Canis lupus familiaris: one gene and its partners. The protein of the gene in region 1 purifies or fractionates together with the protein of each later gene. This does not show direct contact. Links are inferred from orthologs where the notes say so. Each region holds a gene or a part of one and is shown in the gene's direction. Other genes may lie near its edges.

Region 1 (7,379 bases):
GCCTGCTTAAGAGTCTCTCTCTCCCGCTACCCGCCTCCCCTCCACTGTACTCACTCTAGTTCTCTCTCTCTGTAAATAAATAAAGACTTTATTCTGAAGTCTCCAGAGAAGTTTTGGAAGGGAGTTAGGGTTGGAATCGTGCTTTTCTTGTAGTTCATTTTCTACTTAATTAGACATAGTGTGGCTGCTAGCCTGAAGGAGCACGGTTGGAGGCAGGCTCAGCTGGCAGAGTGGAGACGGAGAAGGGCCCGGGTCCACACGTATCTGGGAGTGACATCAACAGGTCAGTCGGATGCCACTGATTGGGTGTATGTTGCGGGAAAGAAGACATCAAGCAGGACTACTAGGTTTTTAACTTGGGTCCCCAGGTGGTGGAGGGAGTGTCAACTGCCCTAAAGACTTTGTATATAATGACTCTACCACCCGGAGTGGGCAATGTTCTGTGAAATAAGAAAGCAAGCGGCTGTGTCAGATAGGATCATAGGAGGGGGGACAGGAAGCAATGTGTGCAGTGGGATCTAGTTCTGAGATTGCAGCCACAAAACAGAATCCTAAACGCTCAGCTGTCTCAGCACATACGCACTCAGATACTTTTCTTCTTCCAATGCACAGAATTCAATACTTCTGTGGCAAAGAGGGATGCTGGGCTATGCTCTTAGAGACGTGTTCACGTGTAAATAGTTGGCCTCCGGAGAAGGGCCTCTCTTGGTTGGATAGAGAACTTTGGGAGGAGGCTGATTTTGCTGCATGTGGGGGGAAGAAACAGGTATAGTTAGAGGAGAACCGGTACCGTTACCTGGCAAAGGACCCCGCGGTGGTAGGTCCCAAATGAATTACATCAGTGTGAGCTAACACACCTGGAGGGCGACAGGCGCTGTACCTGGCCACCCGCGTTCTATCATTTGTCCCCATTCCACCACATTAAAAACGGAGGCCTCAGGCCATGCCACTTGCCGGGGCATGCCCAGCTAATCAGTTAGAGGCCATATCGGAATCTGGCTGCCCGGGTCCCAGGATGAAGAAGCCTCTCTCCTGGACCGGCCACGATGAAGACGTCGGGAGGCAAAATTAACTCGCAGCCTTGCGCGTCTCATCCCGCGGGGAGGAGTCACTCCTGTTGCCCCGGCGGCGGTCATGGGCCTGGAGGGGGCGGCCCTGGCAGGCGTGGGCAAGGCCTTCCTCATCCCCCGCTGTCCCCCCTCCACCCACGCGGCGCCAGGTGGGGCCGGGGCCGGCAGCAGCCCTCCAAGGGGGACACCCTCAACTACTGATGAGGGTTCCAACCCGGTTAAGGTCGCAGGGCCTCGGCTGGCCCAGTCTTGCAGCTGGTGTCTAAGTCACGCTGTCTGGCCGGGGCGCCCGTGCCCTCTCTCCCTCTGGGGCGGGCCCGCGACAAAGTGGGGTTTTGTCCCCTCGGACCAGAGCGGTGCTGCCCGCCCCTGCCACCTGCCCCGCCGGCCGGTGGACGGCCAGCTCCCCCGGGCTCCCTGCCCCCCTCCTCCTCCGCCGCCGGCTCCTCCTCCCTCTCCAACCTTCAGGGAGCCCCGAGGCTGGAGGCTCGGGGACCTGCCTTCCTCGCCCAGCGGCCGCTACAGCTTCGGGGCTGAGAGGAGGCCGGCGCCCCCCGCGCCCCCGCGCCCCCGCGCCCCCTGCGCCCCCGGCGCCCCGAGGCTGAGCGCGGCCGGCGGGAGCGTCCCGGCGGCCGACGACAGACTCACGAGCAGCCGCTTGTTGCTCCCGCTGCCGCGACGTGGGGAAGCGAAAATGAAATGGACTTTTCCGAGAAATGATGAAAGCGGCGCCGGGCGCCAATGAGCGGCCGCGGCGAACTTCCGCACCTCCCGGCCCGGCCGCTCGCGCCCTCCCTCCGCCTCCACCTCCCGGTTGCACAAGCTCGAAACAAACACTGGGGAGGAAGGGCGGAGGGAGGAGGGCGGAGGGGGGAGGGCGGAGGGGGGAGGCGAGGGAGGGAGCGAGCAGCGAGGGAGGGAGGGAGGGAGGGAGGGAGGCAGGCAGGGAGGAGGGCGGGGGGTGGGGGGATTTCCAGCCTCTGCGCTTCGCAGTTTCCTCTCCTTGTTTTGCTTTCGATCTGGACTGTTCTCAGGCAAGCTGGGGAGTAACTTTTAGTTTTGCTCCTGCGATTATTCAACTGACGGGCTTTCATTTCCATTTCACACACCCTAGCAACACTTAAACCTTGCGGGATTGTATTGGTAGTGTGAAAAAGCACACTGAGAGGTAACATTTTTCAAATAATAGTTGTGACTGTGCGTGTGTGTTTTTCTCGAGGGCATGTTTGCTGAGCACTGGAGGGGATGTGTGTGTGTGTGTGTGTGTGTGCGTGTGCGTGTGTTGCGCGCGCGTGCTGATGGTTTGACACAGTCGCAGCCGGAAAATGCTGGGGGTTCATAAATATTAATACTGATTTTTGGAGGAGCAGTCGGCGCTCTGATGGATCGTCTGATGTTTAGGGGAAGCAGGTTCTGCTGCTGCTGCTGGGGCTGCTGAGGCTGCTGGGGCTGCTGAGGCTGCAAGGAGGAGGAGGAGGAGGTAGAGAGGGAGGAGGAGGAGGAGGAGGAGGTCGGTGGAGGTTTAATTTCACTTTTGGATTTGCAGATGCGGAGAGGTGGCTCCATGGACACAGACCTGCTCTGTGTGATTCTGCGCCCCAGGTGTTGGGTGTGTGGGCGCAGGTCCGCCGGAGTCGGGCCTCCTTTTAAAACAAAATTCTCGTGTGCGTGCGTGTGTGTGTGTGTGTGCGTGTGCGTGTTTACAGACGCCGTCGCCGCGGGATCCGAAGGAGGGGAGCGGGGCTCGCGGTCTCCGGGCGGCTCCGCCGTGCGCCCCGCTGCCTGCGCCCCGCGCCCCGGGCCCCGGCGAGGGGAAACTTGGTGGGGCGCCCCGCGGCGGGCCCGGGGCACGGTGCTGGGCGGCGGCGGCGGGCGGCGGGTGCCAGCGGGGCCTGGCCGGCGCGCCCGGCTGCCCGGGAGCTGGGCCGCCGCCGCCGCCGCCGCCGCGGGGGGACGCCGCGCCCTCCTTCCCGCCGGCCGGCGCCCGGCCTGGCCCCGGGGCTTTGTCGCCGCGCTGGTCCCGGCGCGCGGGGGGCTCCGGCGGCGCGTCCCGGGAGGGCGCCGCGCCGAGGGGTCACCGCCCCGGCCGCGGCCTAGCGCCCGGCGCCGCCGGGTCCCCGCGGGCGCCCCCGGGCCGGCCTGGCGCGCTGGGCCCGACCCGCCTCGGCCGCGGCGCGGGCGCGGTGGGGGCGGGGAGCCTCCGGGGAGCGAGCGGCGCCCCGCTGGCAGGCGCGGGGGCGGGCGTCCCCCGGGGGTCCGCGGCGCGGGCGGGGCGGGGTGGGGACGCGAGTGCCCGCCCCGCGCCCTCCGACCCCGCTCTGGGCGCCGAGCGGCATTCGCCCGCCGGCCGAACGTGGTTGGTGCGCGGCCGCCACTTCCTCCCCGCCCCGCCGGCCCGGCCCGGCCACCGAGCGGGGCCCGCGGAGCCTCCGCAAGTTCGGGGGAGGAGGGGGGCTGCGGATGCGACCGGGTCCCCCCGCCAGGACGCGCCGGCCCCGGCCCCAGGTCCCGGTACGTTCGCCGCCCTTGCCCTGTTGCAGCGGGAGCGGGGGCGGGGGCGGGGGCGGGAGCTGCGCCCCCTGGCACGGGCAGGCCCGGGCGCACTCCTCGGCAGCCCCGGAGGACAGTCTCTGCAACTTGGGGACATTTTGCCCGCCCCGTCCCTCCTCCGCCTCCTCCCTCCGTGCGGGCGGTGGGTAGTGCTCCGCGTGCAGGGTCACGGAATCCCAAGACGCGGAGTGTCTCCAAAGCTGGAAAAGTGCGGGCGCTCCTGTGCCCCCTGCGCCTCCTGCGCGCCCCCCGACCCCCCGGCCTCCCCTGTTGCAGTGGCTCGGTCTGCTTTTGATGAATGGCTGGGGAGGGTGGAGGATGGTTACATTTCCTGTTGGGGATTTTCAGGAATCACCGAGGCTGCTGTCGAGCCTGCAGTCACTTATCAGGGTTCAGACCGATTGCACACGGCGTGGGGGGCTGGGGGGGGGGGCTAGGAGCCTGCACTTGGTGCTCTCAGGGCAGGTGCAGCGAGGGGCCGCTGGCCGACGTGGTTCCGAGGGCGGGTGGTCTTGGATGCGCGCTCGCCTCCCGGCGCCCGGGGGCCCATCCCTGCCCCACTTCGGGGCGCCCAGCAGATCCAGGATCCAGCAGTTTCCCCAGCGCCCCGTGCTTCCTTTTTTGGAGGGGGCAGCGGTAGAAGTAGGAACCTAGAACGTCCTGGAAAAACTCGACTTTTCTAAGGAGACTTCAGACATGGAATATTGAGAAATGAAACGGGCATTTCTACGGGGTAACCTTGGAACATCTGTTGATCGATAGACGGTAAAGTCCGGAATTTCGCTGCAATCAGTGAACGATTATAATTTATAACTCGGCCTGTTATGTAAGAAGCAAGATTTTCGCTTCTTTAGATTCAGGAGTTCTGTGATGACTTGTAATCGCTTCCTAATATTAAACATTTATATACTTCGTCCTCAGGGAGTTGTCCTTTTTTTTTTTTTTTTTTCCTTTTGATCTTGGAAAGTAAAAGGTAATTTTGCATATTTCAGACTTGACTTACCTGTAAAAATGTCACCGGCATCAAAAGTGAGAGTTTGTAGTTGAATTGGAAGCAAATTATGGCAAAGTAATGGTTGTCCTTAAGTACTGACAGCTCTATGAACTATGGCCCGGCTTTCCTGTGCCTTCTGAAAGACTTTATTAGGCAGATATTCCATATACCAAAGCCAGTTAATAAGGCTGTTAAGCTTACAACTAGTAGTGGAAGATTCGAGACTCTGGATACTTAACTTTTGGTGTGCATCCATTGCTTCAGGTTTGCAAGGACACTGTACTTTTATTCTTAGGATTATCAGATACGAGCTTGGTTGTTTCTAGAACATTTTCACACAATTTCCTTTTGATAGAGAGCAGAACTCTAAATGGGGTATCTGGGACATGGTTCTGTTTTGTGCTATATACCAAAAAGGGTGTAAAGCAGAGGAAGGACTTTATTTATTCATTTAATAAATATTCCTGGGACATTCACTCTGCACCCAGACACAGTGCTAGGCTCTGTGGGTTCTACTCGGAACAGGAAAACAACTTCCTTACCCTCTGGGGAAATTGTATTGTGGTCGGTGAGCTGATAATAGGCAACCGAAAGATAAATAACAGTGATTACCTTCTGGGGTTACTTCTATGGAAGGTGATAATAATACTTAACTGCCTATCTGATAGGGTTGCTTTGGGGAACAGAGGAGAGACTGTGTATGGGAGAAGGTTATAGAAGTTACAGCAGTCTACAAATGTGTAAGGCATTAACTTTCAGAAATCTGTCACTATTATTAATGCGAAAAAGCCAGGAAATCAGGACTATGGATTGATCACTGACTTTCTCTTACAGAATTTTCAGCAAAAAGGGATTTACTTCTTCTGAGAGTATTATGGATAACGGCAAGGAATTAAATACAGAATAGCTATTTTATGTAAAGCATCAAAGAATTTAACAGTGAAATATAATATTGTCAGTGAATTTTTTCTGTCAGAAGTTGGATGGTATCCATGGAGACCAAATGATATGGAAATAACAGTGATACCAGTATACTTTCTGTGTGTGTGTGTGTGTGTGTGTGTGCAAGGATATATATATCTATATATCTGTATATTTATATAAATAAATCTTCTCAGGCTCAATGTCATTTAGTCTGAATTTTCTTACCATTGCTGCAGACTCTGTAATTCATTATCGTTATTACAGATAAGCTCCTAGCTGATGTTAGTATTTTGCTATAGCATCATTAAGGGGACTCGGTTCACTTTCATTTATTGACTGCTGTGTGTGCAGCACTGTGTATGTGAAAAAAATAGTGTATTTTTATAAAATACAACATTTAAAAGTACGTAAGGTACTATAGGCAAATAATGTAAATTGCTGTGAAGTGTCAGTTTTGTTAATAAAATCCGTTCTTTTTGTCTGTATGGGACACCAGGTTCTTCTCAGGTGGGATAGGAGATCAGGGCTTTCTGCCCTTTTGCCCTAGATGTGCCCTGCTTTTGTCCCGAGTGTGATCAATGTCCGGTGCATAATGTTTGCCCCAGGCAGGGTTAAAGGGTGTTTCTTAAGGAGGTGCCTGGCAGGAAAGGAAGTGAGGAAGGTTGAATGAATCTTGATTTTTTTTTTTTCCAACAAAGATTGATAAATTATATGTAGGTTCCAGATTTAAATGTGAAGCCAATATTTTGTATATACCAAGGGAAATATACAAGCAGCAAATTCAGCCCTCGGGCACCTGATGCCAAGCCATAGCTTGGGCTGCCTGCAGCAGGCCCCTAGTTGCCAGCATTTTACCTTCAAGCATCCTTTTTAAATAATCCCCCCTCACACACACACACACACACACACAAACACAAGCTTCATCTTTTGAAAGACTGTCCCTGAAACATATTGTGCTTATTAGGAAGACTTCGATGCCTGTTTTTATTATTAGAATTGCATCAGACTTCTAGTCAGAACTCCTGATTGACCTGGGAGAAATAGCATCCTCAGGTCTGGTTGATCTCATTCCAGCCCAAAGTAGAGACACTTGACGTTTTGGACTCTGAGCAGCCCATTTTGGATAAACTCATAGTCTCCTTAGGCTTTCTGAGTTGGAAACTAGCCCAGGACTCCTGATGGCCACAGTTAACTTTGGGAGCCAAGAATCCCAGGATATGAACCATTGTAGTTACCCAGGCGGTTATGTTATTGAATGAACACAAACACTGTACCTTTACATCATTAATTTATTAAATACTTGTTGACAACCAGCTATGTTCAAGGGGCATGAACTCAAGTGTCCAGAGGCCTGGAGTTGACTTTCAGCCCTTTCATTTACTCTCCCAATCACTTCTCCTTTTGGTACCTTGCTTTTCACATCTGTAAAATGGGGCTGCATCGTTCTGTTATGTATGGCGTATGGGGCTTATGTGGGTATCAAATCACCCCAGCGGGGGCGGGGTGGCTTTGAGAAGCCATAAGGAACTTTTAGATTTAACACTGTCTACAACCTTTCTCTCGAGTCTTTGACTCTTTCACGCAAAGAACCGCCACCCCCACCCCCATAGCAAGGCTCTGATCCCCACCAGGCATCCCGGATCCCCACCAGGCATCCCAGGTCCCCATTCCCCAGATATGTGGGCCAGAGCAAAGGTGGAGAACCACTGAATCAAGGATCTCTTCTCAGGGCCAGATCTTTTATTTTTCCGTTGTCCCAGAGGCCATGCTATGCAGACCAGTTTTCCACATTTTAGATGGGGCTTTGGATAGGGAATCCGCGGTCACTCTCAGTTGGCTCT
Region 2 (7,082 bases), on another chromosome or scaffold:
TGTTGGGTTTGAGCTTGTCTGGGCTCCTCTGCCTGCACCTCCTCCCCCCAGCTTAGCCCAGTGGAGGAGGGCAATGCACCTTCCCCATCTCAGCTGCACCCCAGCTCCCCTGCTGCAGGGGCACAAGCACCCCACTCCCTATACTAGTTAGTGCCTGATTCTCAGGGGACCTCGTTGATGGGTGCCCCGGCCCTTTCTCCAGTACAGCGCTGTCTGCCTGGCTGCTTCCCTGAACCCTAACTTCTAAGCCATCAATTTTACGTTATTTATTATTGCCCTCTGTGGGTTTCGGAGGGAACCTCTCGGGTCTGCACATAACCCCCTTCCCTAACAACTCCTGGTCTTGACTTGAAGAGAATTGACCCGTAGTGGCCTCCTCGCTTCCCCGATCCAGACTTTGGAGGGGGTGGGAGTCTCGAGACACATCAGAATATGGATGGCAAAGGATATAGCAGTCTATACCCTAGGGAGGGGGGGTGGAGTTCTCATGGGAGGTATAGGTGGGGCCCTCTGCCTCCCATTGCTGTGTCTGACCTCCAGGGCCCATCCCCCTCATTTCTCCCCCGTGGTGACAAGATATGAATAAACTTATTTTTAATACAAGTACTTTGGGCTCCGAGACAGGCCTGGGGTTTCAGCACTGACGCCTGCCCCACCCCTCCATGAACACGTGGCATCCTCCCCTTGAAGTTGGAAGCTGGCCTTTCCTGAAAGCCATCGAGTCCTGTTTTCAAATCTTACTCCTACTTACTCATCCTTCTGACACCTCTAAGTGTCACCTCCAGGAGAACTTTCTGGATATCCTCCTCCAGGCTAGGATGGGTCTGCCTCAATTACTGTCTAGTATCCTGTGGTCCCTAACTGAACACATGCCTTTATCCGTTTAAAGCCAGTTCCTCCATCCCCACCCCCCAGATTCAGGAAGGCAAGAACTGGTTCTCTTTTTTACTCCTAAACCTGCTGCAAAGCAGAGTAGCAAAGTAGCTAATAACCACCACCCTGGATCCGGTCCTACCTGGCCCAGCCCCTGGTGCCACCCTGGCCAACTGTGTGGGCCTTCTTTTTCCTCATCTGTAAAATGGGCACAAAAACGTAGGAGGCTACAGCTGCATTCCATTGTCATTCTTCAGGTCTCGACTCCAATATTCACCTCCTCAGAAAAGGCTTTCCTGGCAATCTCTACCCACCCCATCAGTTAGGCAGGGAAAATCCAGTTAAATAATCATTTGAGTAAACTTAAATTGATTTGTCTGCCTCCATCACCAGGATGAGCCTTGTCAGGGCAAGCAAGGCCTGTACCTAGCTCAGTGCTGTGTCCTCAGCATTGCCCAACACAGAAGAGGGTTGCATCTTTGAGTTAATGGGCAGCTCAAAAAGCAGGGTTGCCATGTATGGTGCTCCTTTCCTGGGCCAGGCACCATGCTAAACATTTTTACTGGTTTTCCTTTAAACTTGAACCTGCCCAATGAAAAGCAGACTCTCCAGGGGTCTCTGTTTTTTTCCTGAGAAGTTTAGGGACTTTCCCTAACCTTGCCAGCGGCCAATCCCAATTCAGCCACCTGAAGCTGGACTCTGGCCAGAACTCTTGATCCCCCCACTGGTGTTTCCTGAAGAATGGCTTAAAGGCAATTCTAGGAGATATGTGGATAGCCTTTTTAATGATTCTATATGGTGTGTTAACTTGATTAAAATGTAGCTAGTACCCCAAAACTGCAGCTAGTACCTAAAAAAACCTACACTTGTGCACATAATACAGACATACCTCGCTTTATTGTGCTTTGCTTTATTGCACTTTGCAGATACTGCTTTTTTTATTTTTTACTAGTTGAAGGTTTGTGGCAACCCTGTGTCAAGCAAGTCAATTGGTGCCATTTTTCCAACAGTCGCTCACTTGTGTCTGTGTTACATTTGGTAATTCTTGCCATATTTCCAACTTTGGCATTATTACTACATTTGGTATGGTGCTCTGTGATCAGTGACTAAAACTCAGAGCTCAGATGACGGTTAGCATCTTTTAGCAATAAAATATTTTAAAATTAAGGTATATATGTTGTTTCTTTGGACGTCATACTAGCGCACGCGCATAGCGTAACCTTCACTTTTAGACGCGCTGGAAAAACCGAGAAGTTCATCTGATTTGCTTTGTTGCTAGATTTGCTGTATTGTGGTGGTCTGGAAGGAGCCTACAATATTTCCGAGGTATGCTTGTATTTCTTAGGATGAGGCAAAAGTAATCCTTTTTAACGCCTTTACACACACACACACACACACACACACACACACACACCCCACCTCAGGGGAGTCAATTTCCAGAAAATAATCCAGGTGGTAAGTGAAATTGTGAAGCTGACACTGATTGGCTAGCAAAATCAGAGCTGCTAGGATAGCAGCAGGATGTGGGAGAGGAAGCAGACAATCCAATTAGTTTGAGAACTACTAATGAATGCAACTCTGACAAGCCATTCAGATATTTTTTGAGCGCTTATCCCAGCTTACAGAGAGCAAGAGGGTGATGGGTGTTAGAATCTGGAGACTTCTCTCCTCCCCTCCCTAACTCTTCCTGCCTGACTCGCACCGTTCCCGATGCTAGTCCGGGGGATGATGCGGGGTGTCCCCAAAACCTGGTTGGTCCGATCAGGTAGTAAGCACTCAAGGTTGTAGAAAAATCACCCCCCACAACTCTTGCTCGCCATCTCTGGCCTCTTTCTCTTCCACCAAATTACCGAGCCGTAGAGGATGAGGATTCCCTCAACCTGGTGCTCCCCCAAAAAGTAAAGCGCCCAGAAATTGAGCCGGGGGTGGGAGACAGCGGGAATGGGGAAGGCCTCCTCTCCACCTCCCAGACAGCGGAAGTGCGTCAGTTTATCCTCCCGGCAGAGCATTTTGGGAATTGTAGTGAAGCGGTGGCGGGGAGGCGGGAGGGAGAAACACCGCGTAACCCTTTGTAGACCGGAGCGCGCGGCCGAGCCGGAACGGAGTTCGAGGGCGCTCCACCACTCTCTTTAATAGATGAGACGACTGAGGCCAAGTCCTGGCCCAGAGGCCTCCGTTCTTCCCCTCGCTCCGGCTGTTCCCGGCCCAATTCAGAGAATGCTACACAAGACAGCAGGAAAACGAGGTGCCAAAGCAGAACCCTCCCTCCCCGAGTTGCCAGCTTTCCCGTCCCCCCTACCCTGCAACCATCCAATCAGAGCCCCTCCGCCCCGCCCCAGAAGCTGCTGCCTCCCTAACCAGTCATTGGCCCACCTTTGATGGGCGGGGAATCGGGCTTCAGAGAGAGCAAGACTTTTGCCTGAAGGTGCACAGCAAGTCCGATCCGACTCTAGACGCCCGAAAGCTTGTCCACTTCCTACCATGTCTGAATCCGGGGTAGCTCTGACCATTCAGATATCATCTCCGCTCCCAAGCCCCAGTGCCCCAGCTCCTCTGAGCACGCCGAGCTCACCGCCGGGCAGCGTCGAGCGGTAGGATTTGCGCGGCTGAGAGACGGCGAGCCCGCTCCTCCGGCGCCAGCCGTCCCCTTTAAGAATCGGCCCCGGCGGGACTACGTTTCCCAGAAGGCTTTGCCGGCGCGTTATGTAACTTTCCCTGCGAAGCGGCCTCTGGGGCAGAAGGAGGTGGAGGCGGCGGCGGCCGTTGCAGCGGCGGCGGCGGCGGGAGCGGCGGGACCCCGAGGCGGCGGCGCCCGCGGCCCATCGCGGGGCCGGAGCTGTGCGCCTCGGCCGGGAGCCCGGAGCGGGCGGAGGCGCCGACGTGCCTCCTACAGGCTTTTCAAGGAGGCGGGAGTGAGGAAAAAGGCTTAGGGCCCAGGGGGCGGAGAAGGGGGGCCGGGCCTGGATCCGCGGGGAGGCCGAGCCGGAGAGGCCTGACTGTGGCTCGCGCGGTCCCCGGGACGCGAATCGAACGTCGGGCGGCGCGGATCGAACGTCGGCGGCGGGTGGAACGCCGGGGCTCAGCGGCGCGCGCGCGCGGGGGTCATGGCGTCGGTGCAGGCGTCCCGCCGCCAGTGGTGCTACCTGTGCGACCTGCCCAAGATGCCGTGGGCCATGGTGTGGGACTTCAGCGAGGCTGTGTGCCGCGGGTGCGTGAACTTCGAGGGCGCGGATCGCATCGAGCTGCTCATCGACGCTGCCCGCCAACTCAAGCGCAGCCACGTGCTCCCCGAGGGCCGCTCCCCCGGGCCCCCAGCCCTCAAGCACCCGACCACTAAGGACCTGGCTGCGGCCGCCGCACAGGGGCCTCAGCTACCGCCTCCGCAGGCCCAGCCCCAGCCGTCAGGGACAGGCGGCGGCATCTCGGGCCAGGACCGCTATGACAGGGCCACATCGTCCGGCCGCCTCCCCCTGCCTTCGCCCGCCCTGGAGTACACCCTGGGGTCCCGCTTGGCTAATGGGCTGGGCCGGGAGGAGGCCGTGGCGGAGGGGGCGCGAAGGGCCCTGCTTGGCTCCATGCCCAGCTTGGTGCCCCCCGGGCTGCTGGCAGCTGCAGTGTCTGGCCTGGGAAGCCGAGGGCTGACGCTGGCACCCGGCTTGAGTCCTGCCCGTCCAGCTTTTGGCTCCGATTTCGAGAAGGAGAAGCAGCAGAGGAATGCGGACTGTCTGGCAGAACTGAACGAGGCCATGCGTGGCCGGGCAGAGGAGTGGCACGGGCGCCCCAAAGCTGTGCGGGAACAGCTGCTGGCCCTGTCTGCCTGCGCCCCCTTCAACGTTCGCTTCAAGAAGGATCACGGGTTGGTGGGGCGGGTGTTCGCTTTTGACGCTACCGCCCGCCCGCCGGGCTACGAGTTCGAGCTGAAGCTTTTTACCGAATACCCCTGTGGTTCTGGCAACGTGTACGCAGGAGTCCTGGCCGTGGCTCGCCAGATGTTTCATGATGCTCTGCGGGAGCCGGGCAAGGCTCTGGCCTCATCAGGCTTCAAGTACCTCGAATATGAACGGAGGCACGGCTCAGGGGAATGGCGCCAGCTGGGGGAGCTGCTCACCGACGGGGTCCGCAGCTTCCGAGAGCCCGCTCCTGCCGAGGCCCTGCCGCAGCAGTACCCGGAGCCAGCCCCTGCAGCCCTCTGTGGCCCACCCCCGCGAGCCCCATCCCGGAACCTGGCGCCCACGCCACGCCGTCGCAAGGCATCCCCTGAGCCCGAGGGTGAGGCGGCTGGCAAGATGACCACCGAGGAACAGCAGCAGCGGCACTGGGTAGCGCCCGGTGGCCCATACTCCGCCGACACCCCCGGTGTGCCTTCACCCATCGCCGCCCTGAAGAATGTGGCGGAGGCCCTGGGCCACTCCCCCAAGGACCCTGGCGGGGGCGGGGGCCCTGTACGCGCTGGGGGTGCCAGCCCCGCAGCCTCCTCCACCGCCCAGCCTCCCGCCCAGCATCGTCTAGTGGCCCGCAATGGTGAGGCAGAAGTCAGCCCCACGGCAGGGGCAGAAGCTGTGAGCGGGGGTGGTAGCGGCACCGGGGCGACCCCTGGGGCCCCCCTGTGCTGTACCCTGTGCCGGGAGCGGCTGGAAGACACCCACTTCGTCCAGTGCCCCTCAGTGCCCGGACACAAGTTCTGCTTTCCCTGCTCACGGGAATTCATCAAGGCACAGGGCCCTGCCGGGGAGGTGTACTGCCCCAGTGGAGACAAGTGCCCCCTGGTGGGCTCCTCTGTCCCCTGGGCCTTCATGCAGGGCGAGATCGCCACTATCCTTGCTGGAGACATCAAGGTTAAGAAAGAACGGGACCCCTAGGCCACCACTGTCACCAGTCTACTGCCTCCCACCCCCTTGCTACCCACCGCTTCTGCGGATAAATTATTCCCTCTCCCCCAGCCCAGTGCTACCCCCACCTGTGTACATACCCCCTTCCTCATCCCAGATGGGTCCCCTGGGGTAGATGCATTGAGGGTGGGGGGAGAAAGCTTGTGGCTTCTGTTCGAGGGGGTGTTTGGGGTCCTACGGCCCCTCCAGTATCCCTCGCCCCTCCTTGGCTTGGCTTTGCTGCTGCTTGTAGTTGGGGGAGAGGTGCCCCCCTCCTCCTTGAGAAGGGGCCTCCTGAAATCTCGCTCTTTATAAACAAAGCAAAAGCATTTTATTGCCCCCCCCTCCCGCCCCCTTTTCCTCCTTCAATAAACCGAAAGATGGTTTTTTTTTTTTTCCTTCTTGGTCCCTTAGTTGTGTGAGATGCTGCGCCCTCTCTGGGACCGAACTGGTCCTGCAGGGAAGGGACTTTGCGTTGTAGCCTCCAGGTGGCGCCCTTCACTCAGGCGGGCCCGTTGACTGTTTTTAGAAAGGCGGACCACAGCTCAAGCGTGCTAGCCATCTGCCCATTTTCCAGATGGCAGAACTGAGGCCCAGAGCACGGGAGGCTCCTTGCGTGGGAACCAGAGCCAACCTAGGGAAGGAGGTTTCCCTTCCAGGCCAGCCCCTGTATCTGCCCAGGACGTGAGGGTACTCCGCGCCCTCCAGGAGAGGGGAAGGAGGCATCAGGAGGCTTCCTAGAAGGGAAGGATAGTGAGTTCTTGCTCAGAGGCAGAGAATTAGGCTACATTGCTTAGGGGGACTGACCTAGGAGAGGAAATTTACCTCTGTGGGGTACCCTAACAGGATTCCTGGAAACAAGGGGACTGCTTCCTGCCTCTGGTGGTGCCCTGAACTGTGCTCCTCGCGCCCATCTTGGGAGACCAGTCTCAATAGTGGCCACCCTAGGACACCGTGACTGGCAGGGTAAAAGGCACAACCCTTGCGGCCGGCCGCCTCTGATGTGCGCGGCCTTGTCCCGCACCTGTCCCGATGGGCTGATCATTAACCAGGACTTCCTGCTCTCTGGCGTCAAGAGGCGGGGCCTGAGCAGCCTGCGGCAAAGCACGGGTTAAGGGGAGGGGGCCGCCCCAAGAGCCCAGCCCCCACCCCTGCAGTCTCCCTCTGCGACCCCAAAGTGGAGATTGCGGGAAGGGGCGATTCGGGGCGCCAAGGCCAGCAGATGGACGGAAAGATGGGGGAATGATAGTGTGTCCTGTGACCGCGCAGCACTGGCACACAGCCCTGAGACCCCAGACTGCCCCACATCTCAGGAACACAGGTGTCCCACCACCTAAGTCT
Region 3 (7,221 bases), on another chromosome or scaffold:
CTCTGCACCTATGACCCCAGAATGAGTGGGAGAACCATGTGCTGAGGAGTGCTAGAGCCGAGAGCAGGCTCTGGAGGTCAAGTGTCAAAATAAAAAGAAGTACTTCTTGTTTCTTCAACTGAACTTTATTACAAGTAAGAGTGAATAGTAGTCATGAGAATAATGATCCTCACCTTTTATGCGATTTACAAAGTACTTTCACATGTTCACTAGCAACAGTACCAGCATTAATACCAATACTAATAATAACCAACACTTACGGACGGCTTCCCGTGGGCCTGACACGGTGCTCTACACAGCGCAAGCTGTATTGGAGTCTGCGGCAACGGAAGATCCGAAACTTCTGTACATGTAAAAGAACTCACTGGCACAGCCTGTTTGGAGAGGGAAGGATGGAGGTTGGTTCGAAGGTGTATTTGCATAGCACTTTACATGAGAATGTAACGAAGAATGGGGGGACTGATGGAAATTTGGAGCACTGCAAACCACCTCTGGGAACCTGAGAACCCAAGGTAGCTTGTCACAGCTACCTCTCTGATTTTACTGGATTCCGATCTCAGCTCCATCTCTAATGGCCATGTGACCCTGGGCAAGTTATTTAACCTCTTTTGTGAGCCTGTAAAACAGAGTTCATGATAGAATCTACCTTGTGGATACTATTGAGAGTTTAATGATGAGGCAAGAAAATCACCTAGCAGTGTCTGGTTCGCAGTAACCTCAGTGAGTTACCTCCTAATTATGACAAGAAGCAAAATGAAATCTCAAACAATTCTAATAAGTTGGGAGCTATGATCCCATGTGTATGGGTGGAAAACGGAGAGAAGGTAAAAGAAAGTAATCAGATCAAGGTCACAGAGCCAGAGAGTGATAGGAAATTCCAACCTGATCCCGCAAACTCTACAACCTGAAATGCCGGTATATTGCTTCCTCTCTCCAGCCTTGACCAGAATTATTTCAATTTTCAGAGGGGTGGGGGAGGCAGACCCAGTACATAGAAGAAATGGTTGAACTGCCGTGACTACAGCTATGACCAACATGCCTGTTCCCCAATAAGCAGTAATGACGAGCAGCGGTCCCCTAATGGAAAAGAAATCATGGCCTTGCTCAGCCTTCTGGGGCACTGTGGAATGAAATCACAGCACGTGAGAAAGAATTTTGAAAGCTGCCACTGCGCTTTACAAAGAGATAGCAAAATCATTAAACGCTGCCCCACCTTCTTTTATCAAACCCGGAAAAACCACTCACCTGTTTGGCCTCTCCAGCACCTTCCCCCCTCCCTGCCCCAACTGCAGCTGTGCGCAGCCAGTAGACTGTTTTCCTTAAAGGCCTCCGGGTGCTCGTAGCTTCTTTCAGCCAAAATTTTTAGAATGCGACTGGGGGGGGGAGGAGTAGCTCACCCTGAATTCATTTAGCTCTGTCGTTGAAACTCAGGTTCCTAGACCAGAGGCACAAAAACAAATCGAAAAGGCAGTTTCTGGGCAAATGGAAAACAGCTAATTTTGCAGGTGCTTTGGCATCGGTGGTAGCAAGTGAACGTAACATCCATACGGGGTGGGGCGGGGCGGGGGGGGATGATTTGATTACAGATAAAACGAGAATGAGATTCGCGACGAAAATCCTGAAACTGGACATTTAAATGCACTGCCCGGGGTGGGGTGGGGAGCGGGATCGGAAATGACGCTTGTGGTTTTCAAATGCGTTTTTACTTGGGAAAGCCGGGCGGGGAAAGGAAAGGTCATCGTCTGTTTAATTTCCACCCCCAGCCCAGGACGTCCAGCATTAGCTCGCCGGGCCTCAGCTGTTGTACACACACGGGGAGGGGGGAGGGGAAGGCGGAGGCGCGGAGGCGGGGCCGCCGGGGAGGAATCTGGGCGCCCTGCCGCGCATGCGCCCTCCCCGAGCAACAAGTGGCTCCACAGACAGAGGAAGTGTAAAGGGGAGGGAGGGGGGAGAAGTGGTGCAGAGCATGGCGGTGACGTCAGCGCTCCGCCCGGGCGGCATCCCGCGCGGCCAAGCCGGGGACAGCGCGAGCCGCAGCGCGAGCGGGAGCGCCGAGACGCGCCTCCGGAACGTAGAGTAACAATCACAACCCCACATTCCGGGCGAGTGCGAGCGGGAAGGGATGCGACCCGGGCCGAGGCGCCGCGCGAGCGCCCTGCAGCCAACGTGAGCGCCGCCAGCCGCGGCGGCCGGGGCGCCGGCCGGGCCTGGGGGCGGCGGGAGCCTGCGTGCGTGCGCTCCTCTCCTCTGCTCTCGTGCGTCCTGGAAGCGGTGGCCGCGGCGGCTCCCTCCGGCCGTGCAAACCCAGCCGCCGCCAGCGGAACGGCCGACGCTGCGGAGGGGAGAAGCTCCTCTCGGCGGCCACCCCCTCCCTCCCCCGGCGACTTCAGCAAGATTGGACCCGGGCACCGGGTGGCACTGAGCCCTCTAGCCTTCGCCCCAGTGAGCCTGGCGGGGAGAGGACGCAGCTCGTAGGGGGGCCCCCAGGGAGAGGAAGAGACCACCCCTTTCGAGCTTCCAGGCACCAGCCACTCCGGGGAGGGGGCCAAGAGCCCACGGCGGCCAGCACCCGGCACCCTCGCCCCCTCCCCTCGGGCCCGGAGCTCGCAGCCCGGGTCCGCGGCACCAGGAAGAAGGCGCCCGAGCTCCCCTCCCGACGACACAGCCGCAGTAGGAGGTGGGGGCGACGAGCGGGCAGCACTCGTCCGCCGCCCCGGCGGTGGAGCCCCCACGGAGAGGCGCTGCGCCGGCGGTGGAGACTCGCGCTCCCTCCAGCCCCTGGGGCAGAACTTTCTCGCCCCCCCTTCCTCCCCCGCAGCCGGACTCCCTCCCCAGCCGGCCAGTCCTCCCGGAGGAGAAGGCGCCGCGGAGACAGCCTGGGCGGGGGCCTACCTTCCCCAGGGCGGGCATCATGTCGGCGGCGCAGGTGTCCTCGTCCCGGAGACAGTCTTGCTACCTGTGCGACCTGCCCCGCATGCCCTGGGCCATGATCTGGGACTTCTCGGAACCCGTATGCCGCGGTTGCGTCAACTACGAGGGCGCCGATCGCATCGAGTTCGTGATCGAGACGGCGCGCCAGCTGAAGCGGGCGCACGGCTGCTTTCAGGACGGCCGCTCCCCCGGGCCGCCGCCGCCCGTCGGGGTCAAGACGGTGGCCCTGTCGGCTAAGGAGGCGGCGGCCGCGGCGGCGGCGGCGGCGGCGGCCGCGCAGCAGCAGCAGCAGCAGCAGCAGCAACAGCAGCAGCAGCAGCAGCAGCAGCTCAACCACGTCGACGGTTCCAGCAAGCCTGCGGTGCTGGCGGCCCCGTCCGGCCTGGAGCGCTACGGCCTGAGCGCTGCCGCCGCCGCCGCCGCCGCCGCCGCCGCCGCCGCCGTGGAGCAGCGCAGCCGCTTCGAGTACCCGCCGCCGCCGGTGAGCCTGGGGAGCAGCAGCCACGCCGCGCGGCTGCCCAACGGGCTGGGGGGCCCCAACGGCTTCCCCAAGCCGACACCGGAGGAGGGACCCCCGGAGCTGAACCGCCAGAGCCCCAACTCCTCTTCTGCCGCGGCGTCGGTGGCGTCTCGGCGCGGGACGCACGGTGGGCTAGTGACGGGGCTGCCCAACCCGGGGGGTGGTGGAGGCCCCCAGCTCGCGGTGCCCCCCAACCTGCTGCCGCAGACGCTACTTAACGGCCCGGCCAGCGCCGCGGTGCTGCCCCCGCCGCCGCCCCACGGCCTCGGCAGCCGTGGGCCCCCGACGCCCGCGCCCCCAGGGGCACCCGGGGGCCCCGCTTGTCTTGGGGGCGCCCCGGGCGTCTCGGCCGCGTCGTCCTCGGCGTCGTCTTCGACCTCGTCGTCGGTGGCGGAGGTGGGGGTGGGTGCTGGCGGCAAAAGGCCCGGCTCGGTGTCGAGCACCGACCAGGAGCGCGAGCTGAAGGAGAAGCAGCGCAACGCCGAGGCCCTGGCCGAGCTGAGCGAGAGCCTGCGCAACCGCGCGGAGGAGTGGGCCAACAAGCCCAAGATGGTCCGCGACACGCTGCTCACGCTGGCTGGCTGCACGCCCTACGAGGTGCGTTTCAAGAAGGACCACTCGCTGCTGGGCCGCGTCTTCGCCTTCGACGCCGTCTCCAAGCCCGGCATGGACTACGAGCTGAAGCTGTTCATCGAGTACCCCACGGGCTCCGGCAACGTGTACTCCAGCGCGTCCGGTGTGGCCAAGCAGATGTACCAGGACTGTATGAAGGACTTCGGCCGGGGTCTCTCCTCCGGCTTCAAGTACCTGGAGTACGAGAAGAAGCACGGCTCCGGGGACTGGCGCCTCCTGGGAGACCTGCTGCCCGAGGCCGTGCGCTTCTTCAAGGAGGGCGTGCCCGGCGCCGACATGCTGCCCCAGCCCTACCTGGACGCCAGCTGCCCCATGCTGCCCACGGCCCTGGTGAGTCTGAGCCGCGCCCCCAGCGCGCCCCCGGGCACCGGGGCCCTGCCGCCCGCCGCCCCTTCGGGCCGGGGCACCGCCGCCAGTCTCCGCAAGAGGAAGGCGTCCCCCGAGCCCCCGGACTCCGCCGAGGGCGCCCTAAAACTGGGCGAGGAGCAGCAGAGGCAGCAGTGGATGGCGAACCAGAGCGAGGCACTGAAGCTCACCATGTCGGCCGGCGGCTTCGCGGCGCCGGGGCACGCCGCCGGGGGTCCGCCCCCCCCGCCCCCGCCCCTGGGACCCCATTCCAACCGGACCACCCCGCCCGAGTCAGCCCCTCAGAACGGCCCGTCCCCCATGGCCGCCCTCATGTCGGTGGCAGACACTCTGGGCACGGCGCACTCGCCGAAGGACGGCAGCTCCGTGCACTCCACCACTGCGTCCGCCAGGCGCAACAGCAGCAGCCCGGTGTCACCGGCCTCCGTGCCCGGGCAGCGCCGCTTGGCATCACGGAACGGGGACCTGAATTTACAGGTGGCGCCCCCGCCGCCTAGCACCCACCCGGGCATGGACCAAGTGCACCCCCAAAACATTCCGGATTCCCCTATGGCCAACAGCGGGCCCCTCTGCTGTACCATTTGCCACGAACGTTTGGAGGACACGCATTTCGTTCAGTGCCCATCCGTCCCCAGCCACAAATTCTGCTTCCCTTGCTCTAGAGAGAGTATCAAGGCCCAGGGGGCCACCGGCGAGGTGTACTGCCCCAGCGGAGAGAAATGCCCCCTGGTTGGGTCGAATGTACCTTGGGCCTTCATGCAGGGCGAAATCGCGACGATCTTAGCTGGAGATGTTAAAGTGAAAAAGGAGAGAGACCCTTGAACCACAAGACGGCCACCTCCTCTGCCCCTGACCAGCTCCTCTCCGATCCAGAGGGCCCCTCCCCCACCCACAGCGACCCTCCCTCCCCTTGCCCCTAAGATGTAGAATTGTGAATATAACAAACTGCAAAAAGTTAGTCTTATGTATAGACATTATTTTCGTCGTATGTTTCTATATTTTGAAACAAAAGGTATGTAACTTCTTCATTTGAAGGATAAGCTGGTTTGTGTTAAGCAGTATAATATTGGTTGGGTCATTTGCATCATTTCGTTAGCATTTATTTGGTGGCAGAGTGTTTGCCTAGGTACAGAATTAATAGCCCTTAGCAACGACTGCTGCTGGTGTGTATTTTTGTAAATGTTATGCACTCTCTGAAAGGAAAAAAAAAAAAAACAAAAGAAAATGACTTTTTTTTTTTTTGCCAAGGCCAGTGTTGCTGCCTAAAAAAAAAAAAAAAAAAAAGATGCTATAAAATGGTGAAAGCTTCTTTCTAAACAGCCCCAAGTGTTGAAGTCTTCACTTTATTTTGTTCCATTTTGTTCTGTTCTGTTTTGTTTTTCTGTTTTGTTTGCAAAATGGTAAGGGGGGGGTTGTTGGGGGGGCGGGGTGTTTTTTGTTGCAAGTTTGTGAGGGAAAATGTTTTGGTTTGTTTCTACGGACCTGAATGTGTTGGATCTTCACGTGTTGTTTTGTTTTTGCTTTATTGATGCACGGATGCTTTTGAACAGTAGAGCGAAATGCTAGACATGGGGAATCTGCTCTGTTTGTCCTTTATACATTTCTGTAGTTAACAGAACACTGTAATGTGCCTTGGAGCTTAGTAACTTGTAATAAATTCAATTGATATTAATTCTGCCCCGAGTCAGCAAGTGTGTTTTTCTAGAGCTAAGGCCACGTAGTAGTTCCAACATAGGGGACACCCTCCCTGCCAACGTAGAGCACAAATGCTGGTGTCTTTGCAAAGCCTGGGAGGTGGCATCTGTAGAAGGCCCTGTGCTGGCGGACTGCCCCTCCCCCCCACCAGACTATTTACATTCACCTCTTGGGGCAGGACAGTTGCTGACTAAGCAATTTCTGTTTACTCTTCTGCATCTCTATTTTCCCTGAGCGCCCCAGCTGCAAATGGCATTGTCAGAAACTCGCCCTGTGGCCTCGGGTATGTGCCGATCTCCAGTGCAGCTGTGCCTTGTGCAAGTGGGAAAAACAACAACAACAACAACAACAAAAACACAAGAAACTAGGATGCTTTGCCTCTTAGATGTGGCAGGAATCACACTTACTGCACATTATAAAGCAAAAACGCCACAGAGCTGGGAGCTGTCAGTGGAGGCAGGAGGGGTGTGGGCAACAGGGAAACAGGCATGTAGTGAGCCAGGAGAGTTGCCAGCAGCTTCCAGCTGATGCATTGGAAAAACAGTGCCACCTCATTCATCACTCATTCCCCACCCCCTACCCCCTTTGTGATAAGTATTTCTAAGGGCAGGACACTTAGCTGGTGGGAAGATGATGGCAGGGAATGGGGGAAGAGAGAAAAAAGCCAAACCCCACGTCCAGAGGCAAAGGTCACTTATGACACCAAATAAAGCCTGTTCCCATGGGTGGGGAAATTCAAGGATTGGTCTAATCAACTTTTGGGCAGCATTTGGGCGGCAGAGAGGGGTAGGGGAAAGGACTAGGCCTGGAGCTCTGAGCCCCCTTGGCTGAGACCAGACCGGAGCAGTCCCAGAGCTAGGGCAAGGCAAACAAACCTGGCTTGGACCTTGGACCTTGTGGGAGGCAAATAGAAGAGAGTAGAAAATAGGAGGGAGGTAGCAAAACAAAACCTATCTGAAATTCATTCCTGGTCACACCTGACTCCCTCTGGGAGAGGGGCATGCTGGGCCAGGACAGTCTCTATCCAGGTGAGGAATAAATGAATAAGGGAAGAGACTTGGTGCCTCCACCCCACT

The links.
Region 2: the proteins of IRF2 (region 1) and IRF2BP1 purify together in Homo sapiens (affinity purification with mass spectrometry; 4 studies listed by BioGRID and IntAct, counting the BioPlex papers as one, with this or other methods). This does not show direct contact. The link is inferred for Canis lupus familiaris from reciprocal best matches to the Homo sapiens genes IRF2 and IRF2BP1.
Region 3: the proteins of IRF2 (region 1) and IRF2BPL purify together in Homo sapiens (affinity purification with mass spectrometry; 3 studies listed by BioGRID and IntAct, counting the BioPlex papers as one, with this or other methods). This does not show direct contact. The link is inferred for Canis lupus familiaris from reciprocal best matches to the Homo sapiens genes IRF2 and IRF2BPL.

Annotation. Positions count from the first base shown.
Region 1 is NC_049237.1:46,979,797-46,987,175, forward strand, and holds the start of IRF2 (interferon regulatory factor 2), read left to right. Parts: upstream 1-3,437; 5' UTR 3,438-3,530; coding exon 3,531-3,581; intron 3,582-4,091; exon of another isoform or gene 4,092-4,385; intron 4,386-7,379. UniProt on the Homo sapiens protein: Specifically binds to the upstream regulatory region of type I IFN and IFN-inducible MHC class I genes (the interferon consensus sequence (ICS)) and represses those genes. Also acts as an activator for several genes including H4 and IL7.
Region 2 is NC_049222.1:110,447,049-110,454,130, forward strand, and holds IRF2BP1 (interferon regulatory factor 2-binding protein 1), read left to right. Parts: upstream 1-3,282; 5' UTR 3,283-3,977; coding exon 3,978-5,732; 3' UTR 5,733-6,139; downstream 6,140-7,082. UniProt on the Homo sapiens protein: Acts as a transcriptional corepressor in a IRF2-dependent manner; this repression is not mediated by histone deacetylase activities. May act as an E3 ligase towards JDP2, enhancing its polyubiquitination. Represses ATF2-dependent transcriptional activation.
Region 3 is NC_049229.1:50,178,367-50,185,587, reverse strand, and holds IRF2BPL (probable E3 ubiquitin-protein ligase IRF2BPL), read left to right. Parts: upstream 1-2,572; 5' UTR 2,573-2,911; coding exon 2,912-5,272; 3' UTR 5,273-6,125; downstream 6,126-7,221. UniProt on the Homo sapiens protein: Probable E3 ubiquitin protein ligase involved in the proteasome-mediated ubiquitin-dependent degradation of target proteins. Through the degradation of CTNNB1, functions downstream of FOXF2 to negatively regulate the Wnt signaling pathway.